Sus scrofa: one gene and its partner. The protein of the gene in region 2 purifies or fractionates together with the protein of the main gene of each other region. This does not show direct contact. Links are inferred from orthologs where the notes say so. Each region holds a gene or a part of one and is shown on either strand. Other genes may lie near its edges. The genes, in order: BRMS1 and ARID4A.

The links.
Region 1: the proteins of ARID4A (region 2) and BRMS1 purify together in Homo sapiens (affinity purification with western blotting; 3 studies listed by BioGRID and IntAct, with this or other methods). This does not show direct contact. The link is inferred for Sus scrofa from reciprocal best matches to the Homo sapiens genes ARID4A and BRMS1.

Annotation. Positions count from the first base shown.
Region 1 is NC_010444.4:6,044,418-6,060,003, reverse strand, and holds BRMS1 (breast cancer metastasis-suppressor 1), read right to left. Parts: upstream 13,928-15,586; 5' UTR 13,777-13,927; intron 10,871-13,776; exon of another isoform or gene 10,632-10,870; 5' UTR 10,625-10,631; coding exon 10,486-10,624; intron 10,408-10,485; coding exon 10,317-10,407; intron 10,198-10,316; coding exon 10,070-10,197; intron 9,945-10,069; coding exon 9,865-9,944; intron 9,778-9,864; coding exon 9,681-9,777; intron 9,272-9,680; coding exon 9,179-9,271; intron 8,095-9,178; coding exon 8,030-8,094; intron 7,373-8,029; coding exon 7,333-7,372; intron 6,902-7,332; coding exon 6,894-6,901; 3' UTR 6,332-6,893; downstream 1-6,331. UniProt on the Homo sapiens protein: Transcriptional repressor. Down-regulates transcription activation by NF-kappa-B by promoting the deacetylation of RELA at 'Lys-310'. Promotes HDAC1 binding to promoter regions.
Region 2 is NC_010443.5:187,383,409-187,399,946, reverse strand, and holds the start of ARID4A (AT-rich interactive domain-containing protein 4A), read right to left. Parts: upstream 14,594-16,538; 5' UTR 14,413-14,593; intron 13,327-14,412; 5' UTR 13,276-13,326; coding exon 13,270-13,275; intron 11,134-13,269; coding exon 11,023-11,133; intron 9,486-11,022; coding exon 9,420-9,485; intron 9,384-9,419; exon of another isoform or gene 8,755-9,383; intron 8,308-8,754; coding exon 8,217-8,307; intron 1-8,216.

The DNA of each region.
Region 1 (15,586 bases), on a different chromosome or scaffold from region 2:
ACCATCCTTTTTTTTTTTTTTTTTTTTCCAGCCCGGATTCCCTGGCCAGGGATCAGATCTGAGCCTTAGTTGTGACCTAAGCCACAGCTGCAGAAATGCCGGATCCTTAACCCACTGTGCCAGGCTGGGGATCGAACCTGCGTCCCGGCGCCCCCAAGATGCTGCCAATCCTGTTGCACCACAGCGGGAATTCCACTGTGACTCCTGGAAGACTTCTGGGAGAGGGCAGGGAGGCAGCAGCAGCACCCCCATCTTCCAGGTGAGGACACTGAGGTTTGGAGGTGCTCATTCTCCAGGGAGCCTGGGCAGGACTGGGCCCTGAGCCCTTGCTGCTTCCCTGAATCCCCTGAGGCCCAGGAGTGGGGGGGCCTCTCAGGGCCCTGAAGCCCCCAGCCTGGAGGGGCTGCCAAGGCTGTGTCCCTCCCCTGCTGCCAGGGTTGGGCACACTCACCGCTGAGGGCTGGCTGGCCTCCAGCTGTGGGGGAATGAGAGGCAAAGGGCCCTGGGCCCTTGGTCTGGGGCCCCCAAAACCCCCTCAGCTTTACCCCGGGCCCCAGACGTGGCAGCGCAGGCCCTGCCCAGCTGGTGTGATCACGGTGCTGGGGAGTCAGAGGTGGCGGCAGACACGGGAGCTGCCTGGGGTGGGGAAGGCTGAGGGGGCTGACGGCTCTCAAAGGCCTTCCCAGCGGGCTCAGAGTTTTCTGCCCCAAGCGGCCTTTCTGTCCACTCCCAGCTACTCCTCTGCTACCAGGCTTCCCTCAGCCTCTCGTCCCCGTGGCTGAGTGGGGTCCTCCCTGGCCTGGCGCCCGGCCCCCTCGGCCACTGTCTCAGACTCTCCCCCGCTGTCCCTAGGGCTGGCTTCGACCTCGGTGTCCCCGTCTCGCCCTTTCTCTTCCTCTCTGCCCCCTGCCTCTGGCCCCCACTGCCCTCCTCTGCTGCAGCCCCAGGGGAGGCCCCCTGGGTCTCAGGCCGCTCTGCCCGGCGGTAGACGAGGTAGCCGGCTGTGGGCAGCCGGTGGGCCAGGGCTCCGGGGGGCAGGCGGTGGTAGTCCTGCCCCTTGTACAGGAAGAGGCTGAAAGTGTCGGGCTGGGTCACTCGGAACTTGGTGGCACAGAGTTTGTTGAGCGTGGCAATGGAGGCCCCTGGGGGCACAGCCAGGGTCTTGGAGGTACAGCCACTGCTGGGGTCCTGATAGGCTACTCGGAGGAGGTGCTGTGTCAGGAAAGAAGCAAAAACAAGAACTCAACCCTGCCTGGTACAAAGCCGGCTGCAAAGCTAAGGTGAAGGTGCAGGCTTTGCAGGATCAGGGGTGGGGCGGGCTATGATCTAGTGGTAGAAGCAGTGGCGAAAGCTTTCTGGTTAGAGTGAGCTCTGAGGGGGGCTTGAGGCCAGCAGGGGACATGCTTGGGCTAGTGGGTCACTGCTGAAGGCTGGAAGGATAGCAGTTTCCCCAGAGGGAACAGTCATACTCAGAGCTTACTCTGTGCGGTAAGCGCTTGCCCTGAATTATCTAGTTCACCAACCCCAGAACAGCAAACCAAGGAGGTAGGTACTATTACCCTATTTTATAGACGAGAAAATTGAGGCACAAAGAGGTTATATAACCTGCCCAGGCTCTCATAGCCAGAAAGCAGCAGAGCCAGCATTTGGATCCCAGATCTGGCTACAAAATCTGGACTCTTAACCAGGGCTAGGAAGGGTCCTTGGGGTGGGTGGAAGGAGGGTGAAAGGCCGAGATGGTATCGGCTCTGAGGATCCTGAACCTGAGCCCAGCTGGGAGGGCGAGGGGGATGTGGGCTGGAAGCCAGGCTCTGGAGCTTGAGCCTGCCTGGGTCCCCTTCCTTCTGCACGTCATGTCTCAGTTTCCTCGTCTGTGAAATAGGATAATATTGATCCCACTTCAGAGCTTCCGAGCCCCCGGAGCACTGCGCACAGCGCCGGCTGGTGGAACACACCCTCCAGAAAGGCTGGCCTGGGCATGTGTTCCACATGGGGTGCTGCTTCTGTTCCCCTGCTGGGTCTCACTGGGCAAAGGCCGGGCCTGTGCCAGATGGCGCCAGATGCCCCTGGCTGGCCAGTGTGGGTGGACTTCTCTTACCTGGAAGCTGTGGGTAGCGGGCAGGCAGCGCTGCTCCCAGAGGCTTAGGGAGCGCTGCAGCTCCTGCGCGGGGCTCAGGGGGAGGGTGTGGGCCTGGTCCAGGCCACTCAGCAGGGCCAGACTGGCTGAGAGGCTGGTCAGGTAGTAGCCGCCTGGGACATGAGGGGAGGAACGAGTGTGAGTGACCTGCCCCCCCCCCCCCCACCCTGCTAAGGCGCCCCAGCCCCACCCAGATGGGAGGCGGTGGGTGGGGTTCCTCACCCTCTCCGGTGAGCAGGGCAGGCTCCAGCACTCTGACATGTACTCAGCCTCCAGCAGCAGCTCAGGAAGGTCACACTGGGCCAGGACAAGGCTTAGCAGTGGGAGGAACTCATCAGCCCCAGCTCCCTCCCCTGTGGGGTGGGGGAAGAGAAAGCTCAGGCTCCTGTGGGGCCTCAGGGTCAGAATCCACTACTTTCTTAGACAACCACCCACCCCTCTGCCTGCCAGACCTTGGGCAACGTGGAAACCATGGCAACCAGGGGCAGGGCCTGGGGAGCGGACGCTCTGCTTTCTGAGCCACAGTTTTACCATCTGTGAAATAAAAGGACTGGACCCATTTTTTTCCCTCCTGGCTGTGCTGTTTCTGGAGCCTCTGCCTGGTTGGCCTGCCTCTGACTTGGCAGGGGGCCAGTGGGAGGGGATGGGAGGGGGCATACCCGCCTGGGTCCTCAGGGCTGTGTAGAGCAGCTTGCAGGCCTGCAGGAGCCGCTTGACCTGGGCACTGGGTGAGTAGGCTCGAAGCAGCTGCAGCAGCTTCTGGCGCACCTGCTCCACCTCTACCGGGGAGGGCAGGCTTAAGCGAGACCCAAAGGCTCTGGGGCCCTGGGTCCGGGCCAGGCGGAGGCCTTCAGCCAGGCGGCCCAGGGAACCGCTGGTGGAAAGCCGGCGCCGCAACCGAGCCACCAGGATGGGCCGGAGAGGCTTGAGCACGGAGCGATGCAGCGACTTCTCCAGGACACGTTCTGTCGGGGAGTGGCAGGCAGCGGTCAAGGGAACCGGCGGGGGCGGGGCAGAGTCAGGTGTCGGGTGGGGGATGAAAAAGAGGAGGGATCTTGGTGATGTGGGAGAGCCGGGGAAGAGAGGAGGTGGAAAGAATTTGCTTGCACGGTGGTGAGACGGGCTGGGTTTGTGAAGCAGCGGAAGAGACTGAGAGAGGGTGGCACTGTGGAGGAGCAGCAAGAGCAGAATGGGAACAGCTAGAGTTATGCAGAGCCAGCCCGGACCAGCGGAGCCCTAGGCCGGATCTTACCCAGTCTTTCTGGCGGCAGCAGCTTCTCAGGGCCCAGCTCTGCACTCAGCATGGCCCGGGCCCGGCTTAGCGCCTCTCGGATACCCTGCAGTCCTGGGGCTCGGGGCTGGCCCGCACCTGGGTCAGCAGGTCCTGCACCAGCTGGCCCACGGCTGTGTGTCGGTCCTGCATCAGCGCGGCAGCTGCCCGGCCAACCTGCCGCTCGGGTGCCAGCAGGGAGCAGAAGGCAGCGCTCATGGATCGAAGCAGAGGCCGCCGGCGGCCTAGGCAGGGGGAGGTCGCTGGGCTCCCCTGGGACCCCAGTGCCCCCTCCTCCTCTGAGCTGCTGGGGGAGCCGCAGTCTACCTCCTGGAGGGAGGGCAGTGGTGGGAGGCTGGGGCCGGCGCCCCCTGGCACACGGTACCCCACTGAGCTTTCCCTCCGCAGCAGCTGGCGAGGCGGCAACCTTTCTGTCTGATGGGGGGCTGCTCCTGGCAGCACCGGGACTGGGGGGGGCGGCACAGCCGGTGGAGACAGGGGGCTGGAGGTCTCCGTGGACACACGCACTTTGAAGCTCCTCTTGAATTTCTCCCGCTTGGTGGGGCCCAGGTCCCCTGGGAACAGGGGGTTGAAGAAGCACAAGGCGGCTCCGGTGCCCTGGTCCAGCTCTTGTGGGGACCGTGGCTTCAGCCGGGGCAGCAGTGGGCCCTCGGCTGGGCCCGGTGGAGCCTTGGTGTTGAGGGAGGAGCTCCAGAACTCTAGGAAAGAGAAACTGTTGGGGCCTCAGGGGGTTCAGGGAGGGGGCCAACCGAGGGAAAGGCACGGGCTTCAGGCTCGTGCCCATATGCCTTCCCTTTCCCTCTTGGCCTCAACTTGTCCAGCTGTGCAACGGGTCGCAGAGGTCCCCTTACCGACGCCCAGATGGGAGATGGCTTCCAGTTCCTTGTGGGTGGCTGCCAGGTGGATGGCTCTGGGGAGCTGGAGCGGGAGGAGAAGAATGTCCCTGAGGCCAGAGAGGGGAGCAAAAAGTCAGGAGGGAAGAGTGCTCCAGGCTGTGGTCTGGGGGGCGCTGAGAGCGCCTGAGGGCTTGGGGACAGACAGGGTGTCCAAGGGAACAGGGCCCCACAGACAGCAGGCACCCTGCGGGCAGGCTCACCGGGTGTGGCAGTAGGCACAGATGAGCTGGACCAGGTCCGGGAACACCAGCTCTGAGCCCTCCAAAGAGATGCCTGAGAGATGGGAAATGAGGTCCGTTCCCTGGGGACCCCACCCCCACCCCACTGTGCCCTGCCCTGCTGGCTGCCAGCCCCTTCCCGCCAAGCCATTCATTCCCTCTCACCCCCAGGGCCTTCTTGGATGCAGTGGCTGGAAACGAAGGAGGGGCCACTGGCTTCAGGCAGCCGCACGCACAGGGCTTGGCACTGGCGAGTGTTAGATTTCCGCACCAGGAAGGTCTGCGAGTGGACAGGGGGTGGGGGCTCAGGACCTCTCTGTCCAGACCCTCCCGTCCCACCCTTAGCCACCAGGCCCTGGGTGATGGGGAAGCACTCACCCCCGGGGGCTCCGTCCTCAGCACGTGCAGTGCGGCCGCAGCGTTGGCCCGCAGTTGCAGCCACACGGGCCGGGTGAGCAGCAGGCGCTCCCGCAGGCTCACGGTGCGCCCGGCTGCTGGGGCCCTCCTGCCTGTGCCCCGCCGGCATCAGGCACATCGTACAGCGGGGCCTGGGCCGGCCTGGGGGCGGACACCAGACCTGAGCAGGGGGCCAGGGGCTGGGTGCGACCCTTGGTGAACCCTCTCCCCCTCCTTTGCCCCGACCTGCTCTGCAGCCCCTCCCAGCCCTCTTGGGCTGCCCTCCCAACTTTACTAACTTTCCTCTCTCCAGGTGCCCAGGCGCAAAGCTGGTCGGGTTGGGGGTTCCCAGAAGGCCTGCTCCTGGCTCCCCCGTGGTTTCCATGGCGGGGAGCTCCTTCAGTCGGTTTCTCCCGGGACTCAGGAAGAGAATCCAGCCCCCAAGGCAGGAGCTCGCACATTCCCAGTGGTGAGTAACACTTCCTGAGGGCGGTTCGCCCTGCCACACCCGCCAGTTAACTCTTGTGTGTCCACTCAGCCCGGGCAGTGCCTGCTTCCCCTGTTCTGGGCTCAGCCTCCGGGGGCAGGAATCCTCTGCCTGCAAAGTGGCCCTCCAAGGGCCCCGACTGTGGGGCTACCACCTCCACATGGTGCATCCTGCAGCCTTGCCAGCCGCCTCCAACCACACAGGTGGGCAGGAAGGGGTTAAGCAGGGCCTGTCTAGGTCCCCGCAGGCCTGGGCCTCGCCTCTGGGGCACCTTGAGGTCCGGGGTCAATTGCTCATCTGTCCATGGCCTTGAGGTCAGCTTGTGGGAGCGCGCCCCCTACTGGTCACAGATGACTCATTCTTGAGCTTAACTTGGGTTTTGGGATTTCGGGTTGTCATGGAGAAAGGATGATGTGTCTCCATGGAAACCAACCCCTTTGCTTAACTGAGGTTCTGGGGGTGGTTCTAACACTCAGCCCTGAACAGGGGGGAGTCTGGCTGTGAGGTCGTCAGCACATGGTGCTGCTGCTGGCTGCCTCCCACGCGCCCAGGCTCTGCCAGCCTGCCTTGCCAATCTGCCAAGCGACTGGGGCAGGTGCAGACATGATCTGGTCTCCAAGCACCAAGCACCCAGCCCGCTTCCCCACCCAAGGCCACGTGCTCTGCCTCTGCCACATGTTGCTGCAGACTCTGCTCGCCAGCACCAGGCAGTCCAGGGCCCAGCCGCCCACCTCTGGGGCTGGTGTGTGGCGGAACCCCTTCCTCCCAGCCTATACCCCAAGTCAGAGTGGGTAAGCTCCTGCTAGCTAGTAAGAGGAGGTACGGGGACCCCAGAAAAGATGGCTTGTCTCGGGCACTCTCCATGAGAGCCCTGACTCCCTGGCAAGGTTAATCAGACACGTGTGGTCATGTCAGAGTCCCAGGAAAGGTTTTAATTCCAGTCCCTGAAATCCAGGAGGCAGACATCACGAGCAGCCTTGAGAGGACGACCTGGAGAGCCTGCCTTCTCACCTCTGGCAACAGCCAAGACACACAGGCCCCCCAAATACAATTTCTGGCTCAGAGTTCCTGTGAAGCTGGACTCAGCTCACTGACGTCAGTGACTGGGGAGCCGGGTCCCAGGGCAGCAGAAAAGATGTTGCTTTGGCCGCTGCTCTGGCTTAAGACGAGGCGTGTCTTCATCAGAGAGGGCACCGAGGAGGCTGACCTTCTGAAGGGGGAGGAGGTGGGCTGGGTGGGGAGGGGGAGACAGTCTTGCCTGGCGAGGGCAGCCCCAGGCCAAGCTGCACAGGCCCCCAGGAGGAGTCCAAGCCAGTGATGGCTGGAGGGAAGGGCTGAGCAGCAGTGCGGGTGAGCCTCTGGGGCAGATCCTGCGGGGCCTGTCAGCCTGCCTTTCTGCAGCAGGAAATTCAGATCCTGGATTTGGTGCCAGCTGCTCCAAGGGGCCCCCTGCCTGGGAACAGCAGGGTCAAGGTCCTGGGGGTACACAGGACAGGAAAAATCACTGCAGGGGAGGAGACTGAACCAAGGGGGAGGCAGGCACTTCATGTGGGGGACTGAGAGGAGTGGCCTGAGGCCAGCCCAGGAGGGCACAGGCCAGCTCCGCAGCCCCTTTCATGGGCCTCCCTGGTGATCTAGGTCCGCCAGGCCAGCTGCTGGGGCTCAGCATTCTACCCTCCCTATCCAGTTCGGGTGGGGGGTGGGTGCTGCAGGGGGGGGTCCATGCCCCAGCCCCATTAACCTAGAGCTTTCCCACCCACACGCTAACTCCCACAATGCCCTCAAACCCAGACTAACTCTCTGACAACGGACAACGGATCTGACAGGCCCCTCCCTGGGGGCTCCTTTCCCGAAGGCTGGGCTGGGGGAGGGGCACTGGGAAGCAGAACAACCCCTGTGGTTCTTACCATCTGATTTTCTCTTCTGAGGGGACACAGCTGCCCTCGCCTGGATGGGTAAGAAGAAACCCCCCTGAGAGCCTGCCTCTAGCTTGGCAAGCCCCACCCCCACCCCCCATCGGCTGCCTTCCTGCCTTCCCCTCCCTCCCTCCCTCTCTCCCACCCCCATCCAAACCTGCCGCAGCACAAGCAAGGGGCTGCACAGACCAGCAGTTCCCTCAGCCGGGCAGCCTCGGGCAAAATGAGGCCAGTGAGCTCCCAGAAACTCCAGGGAACTGGGCTGAAGGCAGAGTGTGCGGAGGGCAGGCTGAGCAGAGAGCTCCCCAGGGTCTCAGAAGGCCCACACGTGGAGAGCCCGAAGAGACCACAGCCGGTGGCTTCCCCCCCCCGCACCCTGACAGGCAGCATCAGACCCACTTTTTTTTGGTCTTTTTAGGACTGCACCCGTGGCATATGGAAGTTCCCAGGCTAGGGGTTGAATCAGATCTGTAGCCACTGGCCTACGGGTGGAATCCGAGCCGCAGCTACCAGCCTACATCACAGCCACAGCAACGAGGGATCCGAGCTGCGTCTGCGACCTACACAACAGCTCACAGCAATGCCGGATCCTTAACCCACTGAGCAAGGCCAGGGATCAAACCCGCGTCCTCATGGATGCCGGTTGGGTTCGTTAACTGCTGAGCCGCGATGGGAACTCCAGACCCACCTTTTTGATCGCCGTCCAGTCTTCCAGGATGTCGATCTCCTGCAGCATGTACACGATATAAGGGCCTGCAACGGGGTCAAGGAAGCAAGAAGCCTGCTGGAGGAGGCAGGTGATGGGCCTGGCCCGGGAACCCCCGCTTCAGGCGGGGTGGTGCCGTGGACAGGGGCGGGGGGCCGGGGTCAGAGCTCAGCCTCCACGTCCTACCATGGCCACCACCTCTTTCACCCAGTCCATGAGGAGGGGGCTCTGAGCCCCAACCCTACCACTGTTAGGCTCCCCTCACCCCGTCTAAGGTCAGAAGGCCAAGGCCCATCCCACCCACTCAGGGACCTGCCTCTCGATCCCCTGTCCCCTCACAGGGCCCCTTTCCCCACCTATGAAGGCCTCTACTCTCTTCCACCCAGAAACAACCCTCCTTCGGTCTCACAGCCCCCTCCGGGGACCATCCAACTCTGTCCCTGACGTCCCCACACCATCACCTCCCATTCACCCTCAAGTCCCTGTAGTCCAGAGTCCTCCCTCCCTGCTTGAACCTGGTTCCCATCGCCTGGAGGCCAACGCCCTGAGAATCTGATTGGTGCGCGTACGTGGGGGTGGGTTGGGGTACGCGTAAGAATTCATTCGGCTCTGCGCACAGCAGACCCTGGACTGAGGGAGCCTGGTGCCTAGGGCAGGGCAGGGGTAACTGCTCCCAGACTCGATGCAGGAGCCCCAGGCTACTACAGGGGCACGGAGGAGAGAGAAGCCATAGCCCCTGGCAGGGGAATCAGGAGAGGCTTCAAGGAGGAGGTAACACCTGAGACAAGCCCCGAGCAGACATCCGGACAGAAGCATCAGAGGAGGGTGCAGAGTCAGCAAAGAGGCGCAGGTAGGAAGGCCTGGGACATGCCTGGGGACGTCATGGGAAAGCCAGAAGGGCCCCAAAGGAGACCTCGTTTAGGAAGTACAGGGGATCTCTGGACGGATGCTCCTATTTTGCTAAGGTCCACAGAGCCCACGAGAGACCCAGGACCCCACCGAAGTCCCTGACAGCGAGGTCTGCCTGGACACGGCCGCGGGAAACCATAAGGAAGGCTGCTCGGCCTCTCCCGCCCCTGTCCCTCCACCCGCCCTCCTGCCCAGCTCGGGCCAGCCTTGGGGGGACAATACCAGACACGAGAGGGGCCTTCTTCCTCTTGCTGGGCGGCAGGGAGTCCCAGGTCTTCGAGCTGCCTCGGGCGTGCAGCTTGTCATCCCACCACTCTGTGCCCCAGACCAGAGTCAGGATCGGGGTGCTGCTCCCCCTGCCCCCTGCAGCCTGCGACCCTCACGTGGGCCCTCCCTGGGCCCGCCCTTCTTCCCTGGCCGCACAGAGAAGCCCGGGAAAGAGGACGCTGTGCTTTTGGGAGCCTTGGTTTCCTCATCTGTTTCATGGACAGGGATGTGGGGACAACCCCTCCCTCCCCCGTGTCCTGCCTGGACGCAGACACGGGACCAGTCCTCTTGAGCCCCCACTGTGTCCCCCGGGGCTGGGCTGGGCCTGTCCCTGCTGGCTTTCAGTCCCCACAGCGACCACGAGGCAGGTCCTCTAACCAGCCCCCGGTGCAGGTGGGGCAGCCCAGGCCCTGCCTGCGGGCGGCACTGACAGGGCAGAGGGGGCCCCTCGCCTCACCAGAGCTGATGTCCAGGCTCTGGCGGTCCTCCTCCAGCCTCTGGATCCGCTCCTGCAGCTCCCCCTGCAGCGTGTCGTAGAGCAGCAGCTTCTCGCTCTGGAAGAGGCGGAGTGGCTCAGCCAGGCGGGCAGGGGCGCAGCTTCCGTCCCCCCCAGCGCCCACACCCAGGGGCTGCACGGTCACCTCCAGGTGCTGCCTGGCCCCCTGCAGCTCGCACTCGTACTTGTTCCTGATCACGTCCAGGCAGAAGCCCTTGTAGATCCCTGCGGAGGCCGAGGGGAGGCCCTGCCTGACTAAAGGGCAGCCGGGAGCCGGGCGAGGCAGGGGCAGGATGAGGGAGGAAGGGGGCAGAGAGCCGTGGGCTCCGGTAGGGGGACAGCCCACAGACCTGCCACCTGAATTCGAATCTTGAGGCTCCGCTGCAGCCCCCCGAGAGGCTCTGTGTACTCGGGCGCCCGCTCAGCTCCCACCTCCTCCAGCCGCACCCGCAGCTGACTCAGCCGTTCCCTGAACAACCTGGGAGGTAAAAGGCAGCCGTGCACCCCTGTGCTCAGCCGTCAAATGCGTGCGGGCCGCCGCACAGGCCCCAGGCCCGCGGACTCCCGGAAGGCCAGCCCCAGGGTCCCCACACTCACTTCTCCTTCAGCTCCGAGAACTGCTTCTCCAGGTCCAGCATCTCATTGACGCACTCGCTGCGGCGGCGCTCGTAGTCCTCATCGTCCATCTCTGGGACAGGAGGCCAGTCAGGGCTGGCTGGGGCCGGGGCCGGGGCCGGGGGCGGCAGGGCCGGCTTGCGGGTCTCACCTGAGCTCTCCTCCTCGGACTCGGTCGGGCTGCCGCTCCGTTCCTCCTCGCTCTCTTCCTCCTCCCCGTTCATCTCAGCAGCCGAGTCGCCCTCTGCTTCCATCTCCTCTGCGTCTTTGCTCGGAGGCTGGACAGGCATCTGGGCTCTGGGAGTAGCGGTGGAGCCAGTACTTGCCACTACCCACAGCTCTGCCCGAATGTGGCTACTCCAGGAGTGGCCTAACTGCAGGCGGGGGACCACTGGGGAAGGCACGAGACTCACCACATCCTGTGCGTGCCCACGCTCGGTGGAGCAGGTGCAAGCAGCCCTGGCCGCACATCTCCCAGGAGCCCGGGAGCCATGGGCATGCCCGTATGCCCTTGGACACTGTCGGTGATCCCAGGCCTGGGAACACCAGCCAAGACGATGACCCGTCAGCTGGGAAAGGCCAAGGGTGGGCTCCCCACTGCCTACCGGACTGGGCCCAAACCTTTTCTTTTTCTTTTTTTTTGCTTTTTAGGGCCACAGGTGCGACATATAGAGGTTCCCAGGCTAGGGGTCGAATCAAAGCTACAGCTGCCGGCCTACACCACAGCCACAACAATGCCAGATCCGAGCCGTCTGTGACCTACACCATAGCTCACAGCAATGCCAGATCCTTAACCCACTGAACGAGGCCAGGGAGTGAACCCACATCCTCATGGAGACTCGTCAGGTTTGTTACTGCTGAGCCACAATGGGAACTCCTGGGCCCAAACTTCTGATCCGGGCTTCCAAGGCCCTGCACAGACTGGACTTGAATCACCGGTCCAGCTCCTTCACCCCACCATCTGCTGGCCAGTTCTCAAATATACCACGCACTTCCCCACCAGCCCTAACGCCCACGGCGCTATTCTTTCTTTCTTTTTTTCTTTTTTTGGTCTTTTTAGAGCCATATTCGCAGCATATGGAGATTCCCAGGCCAGGGGTCCAATTGGAGCTGTAGACGTTGGCCTACACCACAGCTACAGCAACGCCAGATCCAAGCTGCGTCTGCGACCTACACCACAGCTCACGGCAATGCTGGATCCTTAACCCACTGAGCGAGACCAGGGATTGAACCCGAAACCTCATGGTTCCCAGTCAGATTCCTTTCTGCTGCGCCACGACGGGAACTCCTGTGCTATTCTTCTGCCTACACCGCCCTCCACTTCTCTTCCTGAGAACACTCTACGATGCTTGTGTTCTCACTGGGCTCAAATCCTATCTCCTGCTTCCTTCATGATCTCATGTCCTCAGTGCTGCCCTCTCCCTTATGCATCTTCAACTCTCGCTCCTGACAGCTCCTCCCAGAGAACGTCAGACGTGCTCAGGTATCTACCACCAGAGAGAGAAAGCAGAAACACAAAACCTCACCCCACCCCACTGCTCGCCGTTTTCCACCTCATGGCTACTTTTCAAGGCCTTGTGGACACTTGCTATTCCTACTCGCCCACCTCCCACTTGTTCTGTTCCTGTATCATCACTCTCAGCTGAAGCCCATCCTGTAGAGTTAACTGACGAACTCCTCGTACCTAATGCCAGTATTTTTTGGTGCTTATCTTAGGTTGACTTCTCAGCAAACTGAACAGTCTTAAGCATTCCTTCTTTTAGTCACTCATTTAATATTTACTGAAGATCTAATACATGCTAGGTAGCAGCAGACACTATGGTAGGAGCTGGGCACAGGTGCGACAGTCTCTGACCTCAAGGAGTTTACAAGTTCCTGGGACAGAAAGGCTAAGAAACAGACTGTTGCTGTGGGGTGAGAAGAGTTAAGACCAGGGGCTTACGGGAGAGGCATCTAACTGGGACCTGGAGCCTGCTGCAGCAGTGAGGGCCTGCAGAGGAAGATGGGCCAGACAGATGAGCTGAGCTGGTCAAGAGAGGGTGCATTCTAAGTAGAGTGAGTAGCAGGTGCAAACACCCCAAGAGGAGAGAAGGGGGCAGGGCTGGGGGTCCATGGGTCTAAGCCTCACAGAGAAATGTGGGCTGCAGAGATCTGGTCATCACATCGTGAGTTCTTCAGGCCTTGGGAGAGGGTGCAACCAGCAAGGCAGAATGTGTGGAGTGAGAAGGAGTTCATGATGGAACTTCTAGGGTCATCAAAGGGGCAGATGACAAGATGCCAGGAAAGGAGAAGGAAATTAGCAAGAGACAGAGGAGGAAAAAGTCAGAGTATAGGGGGAGAGAGAGAATTTCAGAATGAAGGAGATGAGACAGTGCCAAATGCTGCCAAAAGATCGCCCAAGAGGAAGACTAAACAGTCTCAATAGATCATTTCTGACTAAAGGGGTTTCTACTTCACCGGATGTTTTCCTCTGGGTACTTTGTAGTCCTTCAGATCCGCGTAGATGCCCCTCCTTATTTATTTCCACGTCTGTTGCCCATCCTCATGCCTGTCTGTGAGCCTCCCCAGGGCAGGGCTGCACACGCGCTTTACCCACCCCGCGCAGTACTGACTCACTAGACCACTGGAGGATTTGCGAATGCAAATTAAACAAAACACATTTTTGCAGGGCAGGAAATGGCTTTCTTAGTAGCCCCTGGTCCCTACAGTGGTAGCAAACCCAAAGTGTTTTGTCACCTTTCCTTGACATCAGTTTGAGTAAACTGACTGGCCTAGAGGGCCGTTTCAAAGCATTCCTCAAGGATTTCACAAATGATCTGAACCTGAGCTGAAAACCTCGGTTCTCCAAATCAGCCTCCTCTTTCCCTTTTTCAAGCCTCAGTTCCTGGAGTTCCCAAACTTTGCAATTTCTCTTCACTGTTAAATATATTTTAACAACTCGGGGTAAGTCCCACCTTTCTGGACCAGAGAGGGCGGGGCTTGGGGGGAGGTCTCTCTCCACCAGTCTCTGGGTCTACTGAGAGAGCCAAATTAAATCACATCCTCCCCACTTTAGCCCGGGTACAAAATGAGGATAACCATCACTACTCTGGGTGTTGTAAAGATGGCAAGAGGTAAGGGATCGAAAAGCAAACTATAAGGTGCTGTGCACATGCAATTTATCTTTTCAGAAAGCGAGCATGTCAAGGGCACGCCTCGTAGGAAGGAAGATTCTTCCCCACCCTCGAAGAAGCCGACCCAGTCCCTCCACGGCGCACCCAGAGCCTCGCGCCCCGCTCCATCTCCGTACGCGGCGGAGCGGGCGGGAGAGTCACTGGCTCCTCGGTCCCGCGGCCCCAGCTCGCGTCCGGGCGGTTAAGTCTCGCTACCGCCCTGGATATTGGGCAGGCTCCGACTGCCTGTCCGAAAGGGCAAACCAGGCGCCAGGGTTGGCGTTACGCACCCGTAGGTAGTGGCGCTTCCAGCCTCACGTCTTAGATTCCCCAAGAGGTGCCGGAGGTTATCGGTACTGGCTGCCGCTGTGGGGGTCCCGGAAGCGCCGCACCGGTCCCTCTTCTCCGGGGGCGGGGCCTACCCGCGCTTTCCGCATGCGTCATCAGGAGGCGCCCATCGGAGTGCTCACAATTGGATAGCTGGGGCGAGGCATGCTGGGATACCGCGGGACGGTTTCCATGGCAACGGACCGACATTCACACAGGCTTTCAGCATGCAGGAAAGGCCCTTGTGCCTTCCTAGCTTTGCAGCCCTCGCGTCTGGGTCCACAGTCACCTCCCGGCGGCGCGAAAGGGGAGAACCTGCGACCCGCGGCCCCCACCCCCGCCCGGTTCCGGAGAGTAATGGAGCCAGCTGTAGGTGTGAACACTCATTTATTTACACATTGTAGTCGGTAGGCAAATCACCCAGCCCAGGCTATTCAAGGGTACAGATCTCAGACGCACAGAACCTGCAGATCCTTCCCTTCTCTAGAGCCCCCGGGACGGAGGCCTAAGACACCAGGAAGTTTCGGCTTCTGCCCAAAAGCTAAGAACTAAATTCAACGCCTTCATCTGATTTCTTTCCAAAAAGCCCATTTTGTTAACTACTCAGACTTCTCAGCTCTGCCCCCATTCATACTTTTTGCTCTCCTACTGCTCACCCACCCAAGATTGTTAATAATAATAACAATAATAATAACAACAATAATAATACTGTAATAATATTAATAATACTTCACATTTGTACGAAGCTTACAGAATGTTTTCACATATAGCATCTCATCTGAGCCTCCCAGCAGTTCTGTGAGGTAGGTATTCTCACCTCCCTTTTACAGACGGGGTAACTGAGGCTCAGAGAGAGAACGGGATTTGCTCAAGGCCACACAGCTAGTTAGTGGTTAAGCTAGGACTTGATCCCAGCACCCCATATTCAAGTCCAGTGTTCAAACACCACAGCTACCACTGTAAAGTGGAGTGACGTTTCTTACCCCAGTCAGGCCTGAGGGGCGGCCTAAGGAGGGAGGAGGCTGAGACTTCTCAGACTAGGGGAAGGAAGGGCTCAGCAGTGACGTGGGGAGTCGGGGTACTTGGCCTTCAACTCCTGCTTGAACTGACGGTAAAGGATCTTATTGTGCTGATTTTCGGCCTCCTTTTGGGGGTGGAATTTCAAAGCTTCTTTGAAGCCTTTATGAACCAGGAAACCTTCGTTCAGCACCTCAAAATCGAATCCTGCCACGTGCAACTCACAAGCCTGTGGAGGGAGAAATAGGTCAGCAAAGTTTGATGAGGTTCCCAGGCCAGAGACGGACATCACTGCTCACTCCAGCATGCCCATTCCTCTGGAGGCATCCTGGATCTTTCAGCCATCCAGCCACCTCCTAAACTATGATCCCTCCTGCCTCACTGGCTCCTTTCCATCCAGGGCCACCCACAGCTCCCTGATTTCACCATCCCTCCTGCCCCATTTCCCTTGCCCTCTCCCTTATGAGCACCTGGCTGATGCGATTGAAGCCATACTGCCGAAAGCGCTCGTCGAAAGTGGGCACCTTGCCTCCGGCCACGTAGAATGGCTCCCAGGGGTCCTGCCAGGGCACCACATAGGAAGGCCTCAGCAAGGTCTCTTCTGGCAGGTTGACCCAGCGGGAGTAGTTGGTGGGCGCTTGGCAGGGCGTGCACAGCCCATAATAGAAAGGCCGCACCTCGCCCACCTGGTAGAGCTGCAGCAGCTCGTTTTTGTTAGTGGGCATGCGGCGAGCTCGACGGATCTCAAAGGCGGGC
Region 2 (16,538 bases):
AACCTAATGGTTCCTAGTTGGACTTGTTTCCACTTCGCCACAACAGGAACGCCTGAATTTTTTTTTTTTTTTAAATGGGTTATTTTATTAGCAAACACTTTGCCTTCAAATCATAAACTTTTTTTCTTTTTCTTTTGGCCCCTCCACAGCATATAGAGTTCCGAGGGCAGGGATCAGATCTGAGCCACAGCTGCAACCTATGCCACAGCTGCACTGTTCCAGGCCACAGAGATGGAACCTGCGTCCCAGCACTTCAGAGACACCACTGATCCCACTGTGCCACAGGGGGAACTCCAAACTTGGATTTTTCATACTAGACACTTAATTATGTAAGAGCACTCAACTTCATTTTTTTTTTCTATTTATGGCCTCACCTTTGGCAAATGGACATTCCAGGCCTAAACCACAGCCACGGCAACACCAGATCTGAGCCACACCTGAAACCTACACTGCAGCTTGCAGCAGCCAGATCCTTAACCCACTGATTGAGGCCAGAGGTTGAGCCAGCATCCTCAGAGTCAATGTTGGGTCCTTCACACACTGAGTCACAACAGGAACTCCAACTTCTTCAATATTTATCAGTCAGTTCTTTCTCCTAGGCTAAAAGTACCTAATTTAAGTTCTTTTACATGCAGGAGACAATGCAGAGAAAATTAAAGACTCTTGAAGCATATAGTTTAAAGAACCATAATGAGGAAGTTCCCTTGTGGCACAGTGGGTTAAGGATCTGGGGCAGGTTCAATCCCTGGCCCAGGGACTTCTATATGCCACAGGTGCTGCCAAAAAATTAATAAAGAACCATAAAGATTCCACAAAATCAGCTCCATTAATACATTGTCAGTGATGCAGAAATTAATGGCCACCTACAGACTCAATAACAAGATAAAACACAACATTCTCCAACAATTATATCATTAATCTACACTTGATTAACAGTTCTCTAAACACCTGTATCAAAATAAAGATTCAGGAGTTCCCATTGTGGCCGCAGTGGAAACAAATCCGACTATGAGTTGAGGGTTCAATCCCTAGCCTCGCTCCAGCGGGTTAAGGATCTGGCGTTGCAGTGAGCTATGGCGTAGGTCATAGACGTGGCTCAGATCCTGCTTTGCTGTGGCTGTGGTGTAGGCCAGCAGCTGTAGCTCTGATTAGACCCCTAGCCTAGGAACCTCCATATGCCGCAGGTACAACTCTAAAAACAAAAAAGACAAAACAGGGAGTTCCCGTCGTGGCGCAGTGGTTAACGAATCCAACTAGGAACCATGAGGTTGCGGGTTCGGTCCCTGCCCTTGCTCAGTGGGTTAACGATCCGGCGTTGCCGTGAGCTGTGGTGTAGATCGCAGACACGGCTCGGATCCCGCGTTGCTGTGGCTCTGGTGTAGGCCGGTGGCTACAGCTCCGATGAGACCCCTAGCCTGGGAACCTCCATATGCCGTGGGAGCGGCCCAAGAAATAGCAAAAAAAAAAAAAAAAAAAAAAGACAAAACAAAAAAATGACTCACACAGTGTCAAGTACGATAAAACACTGTTTTTTAAAAAAATTCAAAATCATGAAATTATCATACCAAACAAAATAATTACTCTTATTATTAATGTCCATGAGTATGCTCAAGAAACAAATCCTGAAAGTTCCAATTTTCCTTGATACCGACAATACCAAAGATGGTGACAGTGGACATACACATATGTACTCACATACAGTACATTTAAGTGGAGGAGGTGTGAAGAAGGAAAATGAGAATGTACCAATCACTAATATTAAATTTAGGCAACAAAATCTTTTCCACAATGTTTTGTTATTAATCAATGCCAGCCCCAAATCAAAATGCTGTGATGAGAAATTTCAACAATTTAATGTTGAGTTGCTGTTTTGTAAAATACTCTTTTGAAATACATCAGATTTTTGAAGGGGAAAAATTAATTTCACTTCAACACCATTTATCATAGGTAGAAATAAGGTAAGAGCCAAAGGGGATTAAGGTATAAACAACCACTTTACAGTTTTACATAGGAACCCTTCTGATTTCAAGTGAACAAAGAGAATTAAAGAATTTTTTTTAAATCACTAAACTATACAAAGGTATGTATTTGAGTACTTTATACAGTTTGTTGAGGCATGCAACTTCTTAAGGTCTACTGAAAGACAAATCCAACTACATAGTGGACCTATTTAATCATGAAATCCTTGACTATCAAAATCATTAAGAAGTTCCATCTGTATGAAGTTTCCTCTCTAACTTGCATGTTAGAATCATCATCTAAAAGAATACAAAATTTGAAGGCATTGAAGAGTGACTGGCATTTTGATAAGAGTGAAATAGGGGTTCCCGTCGTGGTGCAGCAGAAACGAATCCGACTAGGAACCATGAGTTTGTGGGTTCGATCCCTGGCCTCGCTCAGTGGGTTAAGAATCTGGCGTTGCTGGAGCTGTGGTATAGGTTCACAGATGTGGCTTGGATCTGGTGTTGCTGTGGCTATGGTGTAGGCCGGCAGCTACAGCTCCAATTAGACCCCTAGTCTGGGAACCTCCATATGCCACGGGTACGGTCCTCAAAAGACAAAAGACAAAAAAAAAAAAAAAAAAAAAAAAGAGTGAAATAATTAACTTGTGTATGTAGTAAATTTAGATTATTTTTGGTTCAGGATGTATACTACAGCATGCCAAGAGAAAAAAAGTCAGACTCTAAGGATTTAGGAATTACAAGACATGAAATGTCTTGTACTTGCCAAAAATGGCATTTGAATAGATTACTCACTGAGTGGGAGAACAGATACTACAAAAGTTGTATCTTTTTTACTATTTTGCATACAAATATTAATATCTAATTTGAGGATAATGAAAAAGCTAAGACTCTCTCCATAATATTAATCATACTAGACAAAATAATGCTAACACAAATATACAAAGCCTAATTCTAGCTGTTGTTAGAATTCAAAGAAACAACAGCAAAAGGGATTTAATCTAACCACTAGATACAAAAGATCTAAGAGTTCCCTGGTGGCTCAGCGGGTTAAGGATCTGGTGTTTTCACTGCTGTGGCCTGGGTCGCTGCTGTGGCCCAGAAATTTCCACATGCCACAGGCATGGGCAAAAAAAAAAAAAAAAAAGATCTGTTATCATGGCACTATTAGATGCTGGAGAATAGTAAGATAATAACAACAGTAAATTAACTTTATCTATCCAAAGATACAATTGGCTACTACTTATTAAGCTTTTACTATGTCTTAATCCATACAGCAGCCTCTACAAGGTAAGAATCACTATCTTCTTTTTATAAAGAAATTGACAATCAGAAGGTCCATCTACGAGCTACAATACGTAGTTAAGAGGGACCAAAATGAGTAATAAATAGGTATGAAGCAGAAGCATAAAATGAACACTGTGGAGAAAGTTAGAAATTCTTTTTTCTTTTCTTTTCCTTTTTTTTGGCTTTTTAGGGCCACACACATAGCACATGGAAAGTCCCAGGCTAGAGGTCAAATCAGAGCTGTAGCTAACAGCCTACACCACAGCCAGAGCAGTGAAGGAGCCAAGCCACATCTGTGACCTACACCACAGCTCACAGCAATGCCAGATCCTTAACCCACTGAGAGGGGCCAAGAGATTGAACCTGTGTCCTCATGGATACTAGTCGGGTTCGTTACCTCTGAGCCACAATGGGAACTGCAGAAGTTAGGAATTCTGACTTGGCAAAAATAAGTATTATTGTTACATCTGTTTTATGAAAGCTATGATTAACAAAATCTATCACATAATAGAGTAAAAATTTTTAAACTAAAAATATATGGATACCCTAGGTAAGACCAATAGTTTTGTTACTCATAAAATCATCTGTGATAACTACAGAAATCTCTTAGCAACCAAAATCAAAAACTTCAGGAATCCGGAAACTTAAGAAATTAACATTCCAATGTATAATTACATTAACAAAATATGGGAATGTGAAGTCTTACAGAAGCCTATTTAAACAATGGGTTAAAGCCTATCACAGGACTGAACAGATTTGTTAGTACTTTTTTCCTTAATGAATTATTTTTCAGTCAATTGAATAACCACTTGGCTTTGAAAACATTTTGTGGTTGATTCTCATTATAACATTTGTCGTAAGAGGTTCTAATCAAGTTAAAAGCCTTATAATCCTTCAGCACATTCTACAACAGCACATTTACTGATTTCTCCTCTACTCTTTTAACTTAGAACTTCCATGAGATCTGAAACAACTGATGTGCAAAATAATAGTTACAGGCATGGGAAAAAAAATCCCAAATCTTAAAAAGCATTTGTCACAAAAATATAGCAATGACAGAAAAGATTCTAGTTTTAAATTTGATATATGATGTATGTTTATGTACACTTAAATATAAATTATTTAAATTAATAGCAACGTTTTCCTTATTTCTCAAATTCCAAATTGGAATATATTTTTATGTTCCAAAAAAGCAAAAGGAGATCCTACTGTGCTATATAGTGGGTTAAGAATCTGAATGCAGTGAGTGACTCTGGTCACTGCTGAAGTGCAGGTTCAATCCCCGACCCAGTGCAGTGGGTTAAAGGATCCTGTGTTGCCACAGCTGGGGGGTAGGCTGCAACTGTGGCTCAGATTCAATCCCTGGCCCAGGGACTTCTATATGCCGCTGGTGTAACCATCAAATTTTTAAAAATTAAAAAAAAAAGGAGCAAAAGAACAGTTTTAGAATGTATTACTGACATTGTATTTGCCAGGAATTAAAGGCAACCCACAAGTGAAGATATGAGTTCTAATTTCAATCTTGTTATATTCCGAATGACTGAGCAGATAAGAACACACTTCCATACATTACAGATTCCTTATCTTTAATGCAAAGATAAGAACTACCAAATGAATAAACTATGCTAGGAAGCACTATTTTACGATAGGAAGAGGAAACACTTCCAAGTCTCAAAAAACAAACAAAAATCCATGAACTGATTCTATTTATTGTGCACTATGAGAGGGAAAGGTATTCTTAGATCTTTTAAAAATTGAATTATAGTAAATCCATAATCTCTTTCAAAGTTGGTTATTCAGCTATACGTGGAAAAATTAATACAGATATTATATAAGGAATTAAAATACCACTTTCTTAATATAACTTTTGATCATAAATAATTATAACTCCTATTTGATCCAAACTAGCAGTGTGGTATCCCCGTTTCATTTTTAATAATCTGACATAATTTCAGGTTCTCTTTAAAAAAATAATAATTTAGACCATTAATAAAACCTAGTGTAACGTTCTGATTCTACCTATGTAACACTTTGCTAAGAATCAGAAATTAAGAAAAATTCCAGGAGTTCCCGTTGTGACTCAGTGGTTAACAAACTCGACTGGTATCCATGAGGACAAGGGGTCAGTCCCTGGCCTTGCTCAGCGGGCTAAAGACCTAGCGCTGCCACGAGCTGTGGTGTAGGGCACAGACACGGCTCAGATCTGGTGTTGCTGTGGCTGTGGTGTGCACCAGCAGCTACAGCTCCAATTCGACCTCAAGCCTGGGAACCTCCATGTGCCACAGGTGTGCCCCCCCCCCAAAAAAAAGTTCCAGAGAAGAGCGATTAAACCCAGTAAGTAGTAGGTGCACAATTAATGAAAAATACAGAAAGTTCACAACCTGTGAGAGATCACACATTTTATTTTGCCATCTTTTAATACTGATTGATATGTATGTGGTCTACATCCTTTAATACCTAAACATTCTTATAGCAGAGAGCTATACTGGGTATACTTAAGAGGGTAGTGCCAAAAAAAAATTAAAATTAAAATTTTAAATTTAAATTTAAAAAAAAGTCAAGAGTAGTGCCTCTTAACATCTTTAATCTTAAACATTTTGAATTTTTCTCCCAAATCAGTCTGTTTGTACAAGTGTGGTCTGTTTTTCTAAGTGTGTATTACCTGCATTAGATTAACCCAATGTGCTTATAGAAAGAAAGATTCTTGGGTTGCCAACCCAGACCTACTAAGTTGGAGAGATTTGGGGTTCCTCATTTTTCAAACAAGCACCAAGTGATTCTTATGTACAGTAATAATTAATACATGAAATTAAGATTCTAAACTCTTTGAGAACAAGAATTATACAATTTCTCCTATAACTACCTATCATAGAAAGTCACCAGAGAGAATGCTCAGTAGCAACTAGTTTTCAGAAATACTAAAATGCCATTCATGTGAAGGATAAAGACTGCCATTCATAATTGAAGGATAATTCTGGGGTGCAGAAATTCAAGATACCTGAGTATTTCTTCTGCAGAGGCATAAGCATTATGTCCATAAAACATCACAAGTATTGTGAATGTAACCTTGATATTGAACACCAAACAGGATGCATATTAGCATCTGAACATGCATCATTTAATTTCCCATGATTCTACTCACATCAATTCCTGTAATTTTTACCACTGCTTTAATATAGCAAAATTGTATTTACTTAATCTCTAAGAGTTATTAACATTAAGTTTAGTTTTTAAATCTCTTACCATTTCAACAGCCACAACTAAGCCTCCTAGAAATGTATCATTCAGAATAATAGCATCGTTGTGAACCAACACTAACTTTTAGGAGGTCCAAGAAAAATCAAAATGGTTAGAAAATATTAGTGGCATAGAGCAAACCGCTACTACTAAGAGAAGCCACAGAGTAAGACACAGGAAGTACAATTTTCAATCAAAGTGCATTCTTCACAGCTTTGAGCATCAACTAGAGATGATTTTTATCCAAAGCAACAAATCAAGTAAACTAAAAATCAAACCTAAAGCGTCATTTCTTTTCCTCCTACAGGGAAACCACAACACTATAACTACATCTCTTATACCAAGACATAAATGTAAAAACCAAACAATGTTATAGATATTTGGTGTAAAGACAAAGATTGGATGTTATCCATAGAACTGTATAATCTGAAAGTACTGAGAAAAGATTTGGAAATGTTAATCATTGCTATTCTCATCAATGAGCAACTATATAGGTACCACATTTAGGTTGTCTTTTACATGTGTTATGACAACTGTTGCTACTCAGTAAAATTTTTTTTTTTGGTCTTTTTTTTTTTGCTATTTCTTGGGCTGCTCCCGCGGCATATGGAAGTTCCCAGGCTAGGGGTTGAATCGGAGCTGCAGCCACCGGCCTACGCCAGAGCCACAGCAACGCAGGATCCGAGCCGCGTCTGCAACCTACACCACAGCTCACGGCAACACCGGATCATTAACCCACTGAGCAAGGGCAGGGACCGAACCCGCAACCTCATGGTTCCTAGTCGGATTCGTTAACTACTGCGCCACGACGGGAACTCCTCAGTAAAATTTTTGAAAGCCAGTATAAGCTTATGCATGAAATATTAAGAATGCATTCACATTACTAATATATATATATATATATATATATATATATATATATACATACACATATGTCTTTCTTGAAAGATGTTACTTAAGAGAGTTGTAACTACCCTGAAAATCAAAAATTAAACTATTATCACCTAGGCTTGAATCTACTCTGGTCGGAATTGTTTTAGTCTGTAAATTCTGTGGTAACATCTATATTACTTATTCTTATATAAAACAGGCAGCAATATGATACAGACTGCAACTCTGCAATTTTAATTCTAATGTCAGAAAAAGTCTGATTATTTACAATACTAAGTGATATTGACTTTTCTAACAGAAGAAAAATAATCCTATAATTTAACTTTCTTGAAGAGAAATAACAAGACAACCTAAAAAAGAAGTATGTTGTTGGATAAAATAGCTATAAGTGGCCAAGTTACTATAGAGAGTTTGTTTGGTTTTTTTTTTTGCCTTTTTTTTTTTGTCTTTTTAGGGCTACACCTGTGGCATATGGAAGTTCCCAGGCTAGGGGTCGAATCAGAGCTAGAGCTACTGGCCTACACCGCAGCCACAGCAACATTAGATCTGAGTCATGTCTGTAACCCACAGTACAGCTCAGAGTGAGGCCAGGGATCAAACCTGAGTCTTCACAGATACCAGTCAGTTTGTTACCACAGAGCCACGACAGGAACTCCCAAAAGATGACTGCTTTTTTACTATCAGGGTGTCATTGAAATTTTAGCCATCTCTATCAAATAAATTGACAGATAAGAGCATGTATTTCTCTGCCAAGATAATGATTCAATGTATTTATAAAACAGAAGGATATATATGAAACCCCTAATTAAATCTTATATATTAAGTTACCTAACTACTTACCCACAGTATACCAACTAGCATCTGTCAACTTGCTGATAACAGCTTCCTGAAAGGATCCATCAGATGTCCTTGTTTCAACAATAGCTCCAACCTAAAACACAAAAGTGAAATTTCATCACCAAATTTAAACAAACCAAATCACTCCTACTACTATATGACCTGGGTTTAAAAAAAAAAGTCTCTTTATGATACTTCTACCTTACATTGGGTTAAATCTTTATCATTTATAGCGCTCATACATTTATCATGCAATTCAAGTCCCCAAACATTTGGGCATAAGTTAGGTAGTTATTATTATCCCTATTTTACACATTGAAAATTGTGGCTCAGGGAGAGAATATGAAAAGGGACCAGGATGAGAATCCCATCTTTAAAGTCTTATTTCAGAGGGTTTTTTACATCATATTGCCAAAGAAAACTGAATATAAGAACCAAAAAACCAGTACAATAGCAAAAATAGCTTCAATTTTCTTTCATAGAAATATTGAATATCGGATTCAGCATTTGTATTTAAGGGACCTTTCAGATAAAGGTTCACCTGGAGAGAGAGGGATGGACCAGTTGACCTTCTTTCAGCTTCCAGACCTTTGTATATCAGATATTAACCGAAGTGGTACTCTGACATAACAAAGATTTATTACATAAATAAATGGCCAGAAATGGATAGAAAACATAATGTAGGTATTCAATCAACATAGTTTAGTTTGCAGGTTAAAACAACAGAAGATTCAGACTTACAATACCAACATATTATTTAGCATGCTAAACATCTATGGCAACAATATGAAAGACAAAACGAGGTATTCAAACCAAAAATTCAAAAAAAAAGGTAGCCAAAACTCATATTCATATACATTAAATTACCCTTCTGTAAGATGTTTAAAATTCTCTTTGGGGAGGCCACACCCACAGCATATAGAAGTTCCCAGGCCAAGGATCGAACCAAAGCCACAGCAGTGACAACACAAAATCCTTAACCCCCTAGTCCATCAAGGAACTCCATGTTTAACATTCTTAAACTAAGGATACAGCTATTGCAATATCTTAATATCTACTAGCTATACAATATCTCATTTGTATTTTTGTTTTCGTATTAACATTTCTTATAACATTTTAAGTATATCTACAAATGTAAAATTCAATAAGTCACTGAATGAATTTATGATTCATCATTTCAGATTGTAAACTGAACAAAATACGTACTCTTAAAGGACCCTTTACTTGGTCATCTTGCACCAACTGTGTAGTATTATCTTGTTTCAGGAGTACCTAAAAAACATTTTCGCACAATAATTTGCATGTTAATTTTAGAACAATACATTAATAGTAACACTGGAACAAAAATGTCTTTGGTCTATGCTTTCTTAGCATCCTGGGGTTACCTATGGTATACACTGTCTAGTATTTTTGCTAATCATCTCTTTCATTAACTGTGAGCTCCTTGAAGGAAAGTCTTCCTTCATCACTACATCCCCAGCAGTTAGCAAGTGTCAGTGCGTATTACAGCAACTTAACTATAGAAGATTTATAATCTGCAATGATTAGTGTAAAACCTAACACTGCTTTTGCTGCTTTTTATCAACTAGTCATAAAGGTTTAGACTGTCAGCAATGTATTTAAAAAATAAAATAAAACAGAAAAAAAAAAAAAGAGAGAAAACCCAAACCAGTATGGAACTTTACTACCTACAGGCAAGGTTAACAAATTAAAATCAGAAGTCTTCTAGTGCTTTATAAAGTAAACCTAAATAATAATCTAATATGCAATTCAGTCACAAATAAGTGCTTTGTTCTACTACAGACCTGCCCACAAATATAGGGTAACTTGCTCTATTAAGAGAGTGGGGTTAAGGGAGCTGGAAAGGGCATAAGTACCCAAATAAGAGGAAATTTCAAATTCTAGGTAATTTATGTATGATAAGCTCTTCCCAAACAATTGCTGTATTTATTTTATTTTAATTTATTTATTTTGCTTTTTTTTTTAGGGCCACACCTGCAGCACATGGAGGTTCCCAGACTAGTGGTCAAATTGGAGCTGCAGCTGCCAGCCTACACAATAGCCACAGTAACTTGGGATCCGAGCTGCATCTGTTACCTACACCACAGCTCACAGCAATGCCAGATCCTTAATCCACTGAGCAAGGCCAGGAATAGAACCGGCATCCTCATAGATCCTACTCAGATTCATTTCCACTGCACCAGAATGGGTACTCCCATGGATAGTATTTTAACAGAGGCAGTTTGGAATACCTCTCATTTTGAGTTCTTTATTTCTCCTTTTTTTTTTTTGCTTTTTAGGGCCACACCCACAGCATATGGAGGTCCCAGGCTAGGAGTCCAATCAGAGCTACAGCTGCCAGCCTACACCACAGCTGCAGCAACATGGGATCCAAGCTGCATCTCATTAACCACTGAGTCACTACAGGAACTCTTTTTTTTTTTTTTTTTTTTTTAAGGCTGAACCTGTGGTATATGGAAGTTCCCAGGCCAGGGATGGATCAGAGCTGCAGGTGAAGCCCATGCCAAAGCAACACCAGATGCCCAGCCCACTGAGCTAGGACGGGGATCAAACCCACATCCTCGCAGAGACAACATCATGTCCCTAACCGGCTAAGCCACAATGGGAACTTCTATTTCTCAATTCTTAATTGCTTTTTCCCTATAGTTTTATATATAATAGTGCTCTTACATAGAAATGATTCACTAAGCGCAATGCTTCAATAAATAAAATGTTGATTTGCAGTCTCCCCATTCCCAACTCTCTTCAACTGAGTTAATAAAGCTGTTGCATTAAAAAGGAAAATTACCTTAACTTTTACCAGCCTTTTCACAGTCTTAATCTTTGCCTCACAGAAGGCACCTCGGTACTTGGCACTGACCTCAGTCCCCACTGTCAGGTAGGCAGGCTCATCCGCCGCCTGAAGAAAGGAACAGAAAATGTGAATGTCACTATTTTCCCTTATTCCAACCTCAAGTCTCTTCAAAAGATTCTGTACTTCAAGTAATAAGAACATTATTTGCTTATTAATGTCATTGATAATTTGAAAAAAAAAAAAAAACCCTAAAGCAAACACTTTATTAGCAATCCTTTGCTTTATAAACTATATCCTCATAACATAAAACATTTGAAATTGTAACTAGAAAGTATCAGTAGGAATATATAATTTTTTTCCCTCCAGGTACAAAATGAGTCAACAATTCTATAACAGACAGATTTTAAGAAATTTTAACTTAAAAATCCAAAAAATTTTTTTTGTCTTTTTGCCCTTTCTAGGACCTCACCAGCGGCATATGGAGGTTCCCAGGCTAGGGGTCTAAAAATTTGGAGCTGTTGCTGCCTGCCTACACCAGAGCCACAGCAACGCGGGATCTGAGCTGCGTCTGCAACCTACACCACAGCTCATGGCAATGCCGGATCCTTAACCCACTGAGCAAGGTCAGGGATCGAACCCAGAACCTCATGGTTCCTAGTCGGATTCATTAACTACTGAGCCATGATGAGAACTCCAAAAAAAAATCCAAAAAATTTTAAATTAAAAATCCAAAAAAATTTAAAAATCCAGAAAAGGTATATTCATAGTAAGTGTCTCATAAAACTTTAAGTTATTCAGTCAATGGACTCCTGAAAATTTTGTTTTCAAATGAAAAGAAATACTGCTATTCCAATTAACACTAACAATACATCATGATTAAGTGTTATTATAGCTACATAAAGGCAACATCTTTTTGGATACACAATAAATGTATGGCTAGGAAACGAAGACAACCCTTTTGATAAGCAGAGCATAATTTAGAAAAATCACTGGCTAAAAGCTACATTTTAAAGGGTTAAGATATGAACTGATGCCTCAAGACTTGTAGCTGTACCTACAAGATTCATCACACTAATCTTGGTATTTAAAAAAAAAAAAAAAGCTTCACAAAGAAATGTCTATTTTTAGCAAATGGTCATGATCAGAATGATACACTGAAAGGTGTGAGAAATTTCACTCCACCATTCATTTTAATCTTGACAGTAACAAAATGATTGCTATCTCAATCTGTCATTTTTTTTAAAAGTTACATGTACTCAAGCTCAATTCAACACTTCTAAGTACAAACGTGAAAGTCTATAGAGAAATATTTTTAAGTAGAAAATGATTTTTCATTTTCCAGTAAGTTTTCTCAACTAACATTAAAGAAGATACATGTGTCAAAGAGATACATCTCCTTCAAGGAGAAAAGAACACAAGAAAAAGTTTGGGAAAATACTGTTTCAGAGCTTAATACACTGAAAGTTAATGAGTAAGGAATAAAGTATCTTTTAAAGTTAGTGCATTTACAACTAGGGCAAATTAAAGAGAAATACTTTTGGCAAATAAGTAGATGACCGAAACATTCAAGGCCACAGAATTGCAGGATGCTATAACTTCTTTACCTTTAAACATCACATATGATGTTTGCAATATTATTTCCAATATTAATTGTCTTCTGAAGACTTTTATTTTAGTTTGAATATGTTTAAATACTATAAAGACTGAACTAAAATTAAGTATTAGTAATTATAATAATTATAATATATAATAATACTTAGTATTAGTTCATTTTCAAATATTTTAGCCACGGAATTTCACCTTATCCCCAGAAGAAATGCTATCTCCCTGACACAATCCACATGTTCCATCCTTAGAAAATCGCATTGGCACTGGAGAAGAAAAAAACAAATTTCAAAAAATCCCCCAAACAACCAAAGCAGGACAGAAGCTTTACTTCTGCAAAGGTTGCTGCCAACACAGGAAGTGTTTAAAAATACTAGCCCAATGGACAACAATGGAAAGGCTGCACCAGCCTTTCCAAAGTGCTAACTGCTTCGGAGAGGGGACGAACTGACCGCATTTAGACACAATGATCATTTCTCACCCAATTCAACATGTCTTCATTTTCAGAAAGCGCAGCTTAGTAATCAATTTTGAGTAGAAAAAAATAAAGAAAAGAAAAATGACATTCCACAGCTCTAGCCTCACGACAGGCAGTGTCCAGGGCACGAGGTTCCGAGCAGCGTCGACTCCACTTACCTTCATTTTTACTGGTGATCTGTGGGGTTCCAGCTCAACGAGCTATCTTCTCTACCGCTGGAACCAAGGGGAGGGGAAAGACGAGCACAGAATCAGTCAACAGAGGGGAGCGACTCGGGGAAAGAAAGTAAACAAACGCCTGCGGGGAGGGGCAGAACCCTCACCAGGGAGGGCGAAAGAGCCCCTCCGAGGGCAGCCAGGACGCAGGAGCCGGAGGGGCGGCGAGAACCCCACGGGCGCCAAAGGGCAGCGGTTCCGCCTCAGAGTTCGCCAGCGGCCCACCGCGCCCCCGCCTCGCTCGCCACTTTGACCCGGAATGCTCAACTCAGAGCCCCAGGACGGCACGCTCCGGAGAAGGGCAGGGCGCCGTTGGGGCTTCCCCAGGTCCCCTGCAGGCGCGGTCGCCGAGCCTCCTCCCGGCCGCCCCCGGATACCCCGACTTCGGCCCGCGCCCCGCCTCCGCAGCTCGGCCCCCTCGGCCCGCCCCGGGCCCGCGGTGGCGGCAGCGGAGTGTCACGGCGCCATTGCTCTCCTTCCTCCGCTCTGCACCATGTCAGGAAGGAGAAGCGCTTCTTCACCCCAAGGGGCAGGGGCCGCGGCCTTCAGCTTGGAGGCGCGCGAGGAAGGGAAGACCCGCGAGGGGGAGGGGGCTGGGGGGGCGGAGAGGAGGAGGGGAGGTGGCCCGGACAGGGTGTGGGAGGGGAGGGGAGCCGAACGGCAGCAGCCGCCGCCTCCTCCCCGCGCCCGCCTCAACTTTTTGTACAGCCCAGAGCGGTACCAGCCCCCAGCCCCTCGGGTCCTGCCACGGACTCCAGGGGGGAGGACGCGCCGCGGAGTTAGAGGCCGGCTCCCCCAAGCAGCCAGCTTCTCGCCGCGCGGAAGCAAACTTAGCGGCGCGGCCAGCCCCACAGCCATTTTCCCGGGGAACCCGGGGAAGCGGCCGGGGAGGCAGCTGCAGCGGCTGTTCCTGCAGTTGCTGCCGCTGCTCCACGAACTGCCCCTTCTCCTGCGCTTGTCGCCCCGCTTGCCAAGCATCCCCCTCCCCACCTCCAAAGCTTCCAACTGTACCGGGACCCCGGGCAGCAGCACCAGCTGCTAGTACCGCTTCGTCCATTCAGTATCGCCCGCTTCCCTTCTCCCCACCTACCAACTGAGGGTGAAGTGGGCGCTGTCAGCTCCCGAGTCCTCCGCCCCACTGACCCCCGTGGGCCCCCGTCCGGGCAGCACCACTCTCGGCCGCCGCGGCAGTTCCTGCGCCCGGTTCCCTACTCGCCCGATTTACTGCCACAATCCACCAAATAACAAGCTGTTGAGCAGTCTCGCTTCTACACGAACTCCTATTGGCTGCTCATGACGCCGAAGAGTTTCGGATTGGAGCTCGCTACCTGCCGTCCTCATTGGATGTAGCTCTGAAACTTCCCGGATTGGTGCGAAAAATAGCAGGTAGGACATCTTCCACTTATGATTGGCTGTCTCCGAAGACTAACGTTACTGGAGAATCAGGTATTGAGTTAGTAAATCCTGAGAAATGATTGGTAAAGAGGACTCCGGATGTGCTTGACTGAGCACTGATTGGTCAATTGGGGGGGTCAGGAAGAGCAGTTCGGCACGAGGATTGGCGGTGGGGTGTCCCATGGAAACCGAACCCGGCGCTGCGCCCAGGACTTGCACGGGGGCGGGGCAGGTCTTTCCAAGACGCCTGCGCCGAACCAGCTTGTCGGCGCCATTTTGTCTGGGCAGCGGTGGCTGCAGCTCTATCGCTTTTTATGTTTCTGGCCAGACGAGAGCGGATTCTTTAGTCTGTAGATTCGTTTTTCTGCGGCACCCATCCACCGTTCTCTCCAGGACAAAACCTAGTGAACGTTGGAAGAGTCGCGATCTGCCGGAAAGGTCAGTTCGAAGCTGTGGTTGTCCGGTGGGCTGGGGGATGGCGCAGCATTGGAGGCACCGGCACCGGAAGTGAGGGGGCCGCGCGGCAGCCATGGCCGGGTATGTTCTCCCTGCGGCGGGGAGGGGAGCCGGGAGGCGGGTTGAGAGGGGGCGAGGCTTCCTCTCCCGCTGCCAAAGAGAAAGAGGCGGAGGAGACGAGCTGGTCTTTTTTTCCTGGCCGATCCTTTGGGCTCCTCTTCTCTGGGAGCAGTACTTCCCTTCTTTGGAAGTGGGTTTCGGCAGCTTGTCATACTCTGTGATCGAGTGTCACCAGTTATAGGCTCCTTTTTCAGGAAGACGGGGAAGGTAAGGTTCTTAGACCCTCCCTACCTGGGGAGAGGTGTTTCCGCGTGCTCCTCCCGCGATGAGGCAATAAGGAAACTGGGTTTGGGGCGCTGAGGAATTCTCTTGGCAGCAGCCCTGCTACTTTAGACGTGCAGCTGTGCCACCCTTCTGGAGCCTTATACTACTTTGGGGGAGGAAATACAGGGACTGAAAACTCCTGACCTAACCCTTATCATCACTCCTTAGAGGAAAGGTCCTCCCCGGTAGGACTTTGTTCAAGGCAGCCGTTGAGCTTGTTGTGATCTTGTGTTGTTTTCAATAGAACAAAATTACATTTGAAATTGTGGAAATAAAGTATTAATTAGCAAGTTGAGTTAAAGAATGAAATAATTAAATATGTAAAAATCAATGGTAGTCCACATTGACTACATTTACTCGTTAGGAGAATATCTTAATTGAGTCAATTTTTCATTCACAATAGTGCCTTTTCTTAGAATTACTAGAAAAGTAATTTCTTAGTTAAAATAAATGCATGTTAGTTTTTCTATCGAATGACCTTGTCACACTGATCTAAATAACTGCATAAAATTATCTTCATAATATTCTTGATTTGAACCCTCTTATTCATGGGGCTCCAGACTAGAAAATGATTGAATGATTTAATAATTTATTGAGATTTTTTTTTTGGCAGTTGGTCAGAAGAAAACAGGACAGTTCAGTGACAAATACCCGAAAGTATTACTGAGGTGAGCCTGCCTGAAAAAGTTTTTCTGTGGACCAGTAAGTAGAACCATAAATAGCAAAATGAAAAAATGGTAGTTGAAAAGTGTTTGTTTGGTCAAAGGTTCAAATAAGTCTGTATAACTAGCTTCCTGATGTGATACTTTAGAATGAAGTCCCCAGATTAGGACATACTTATGAGTCTGTTTACTCAATTATGCCTTTCCCATTTCTGGATTTTTTAAGTGCTTCATATTTTTATCAAGAAACAGTGTGAACATTTTCATGATTTTTTTCCTCCATATTTAAAATTTTGGCATATAGAAAAGATATTT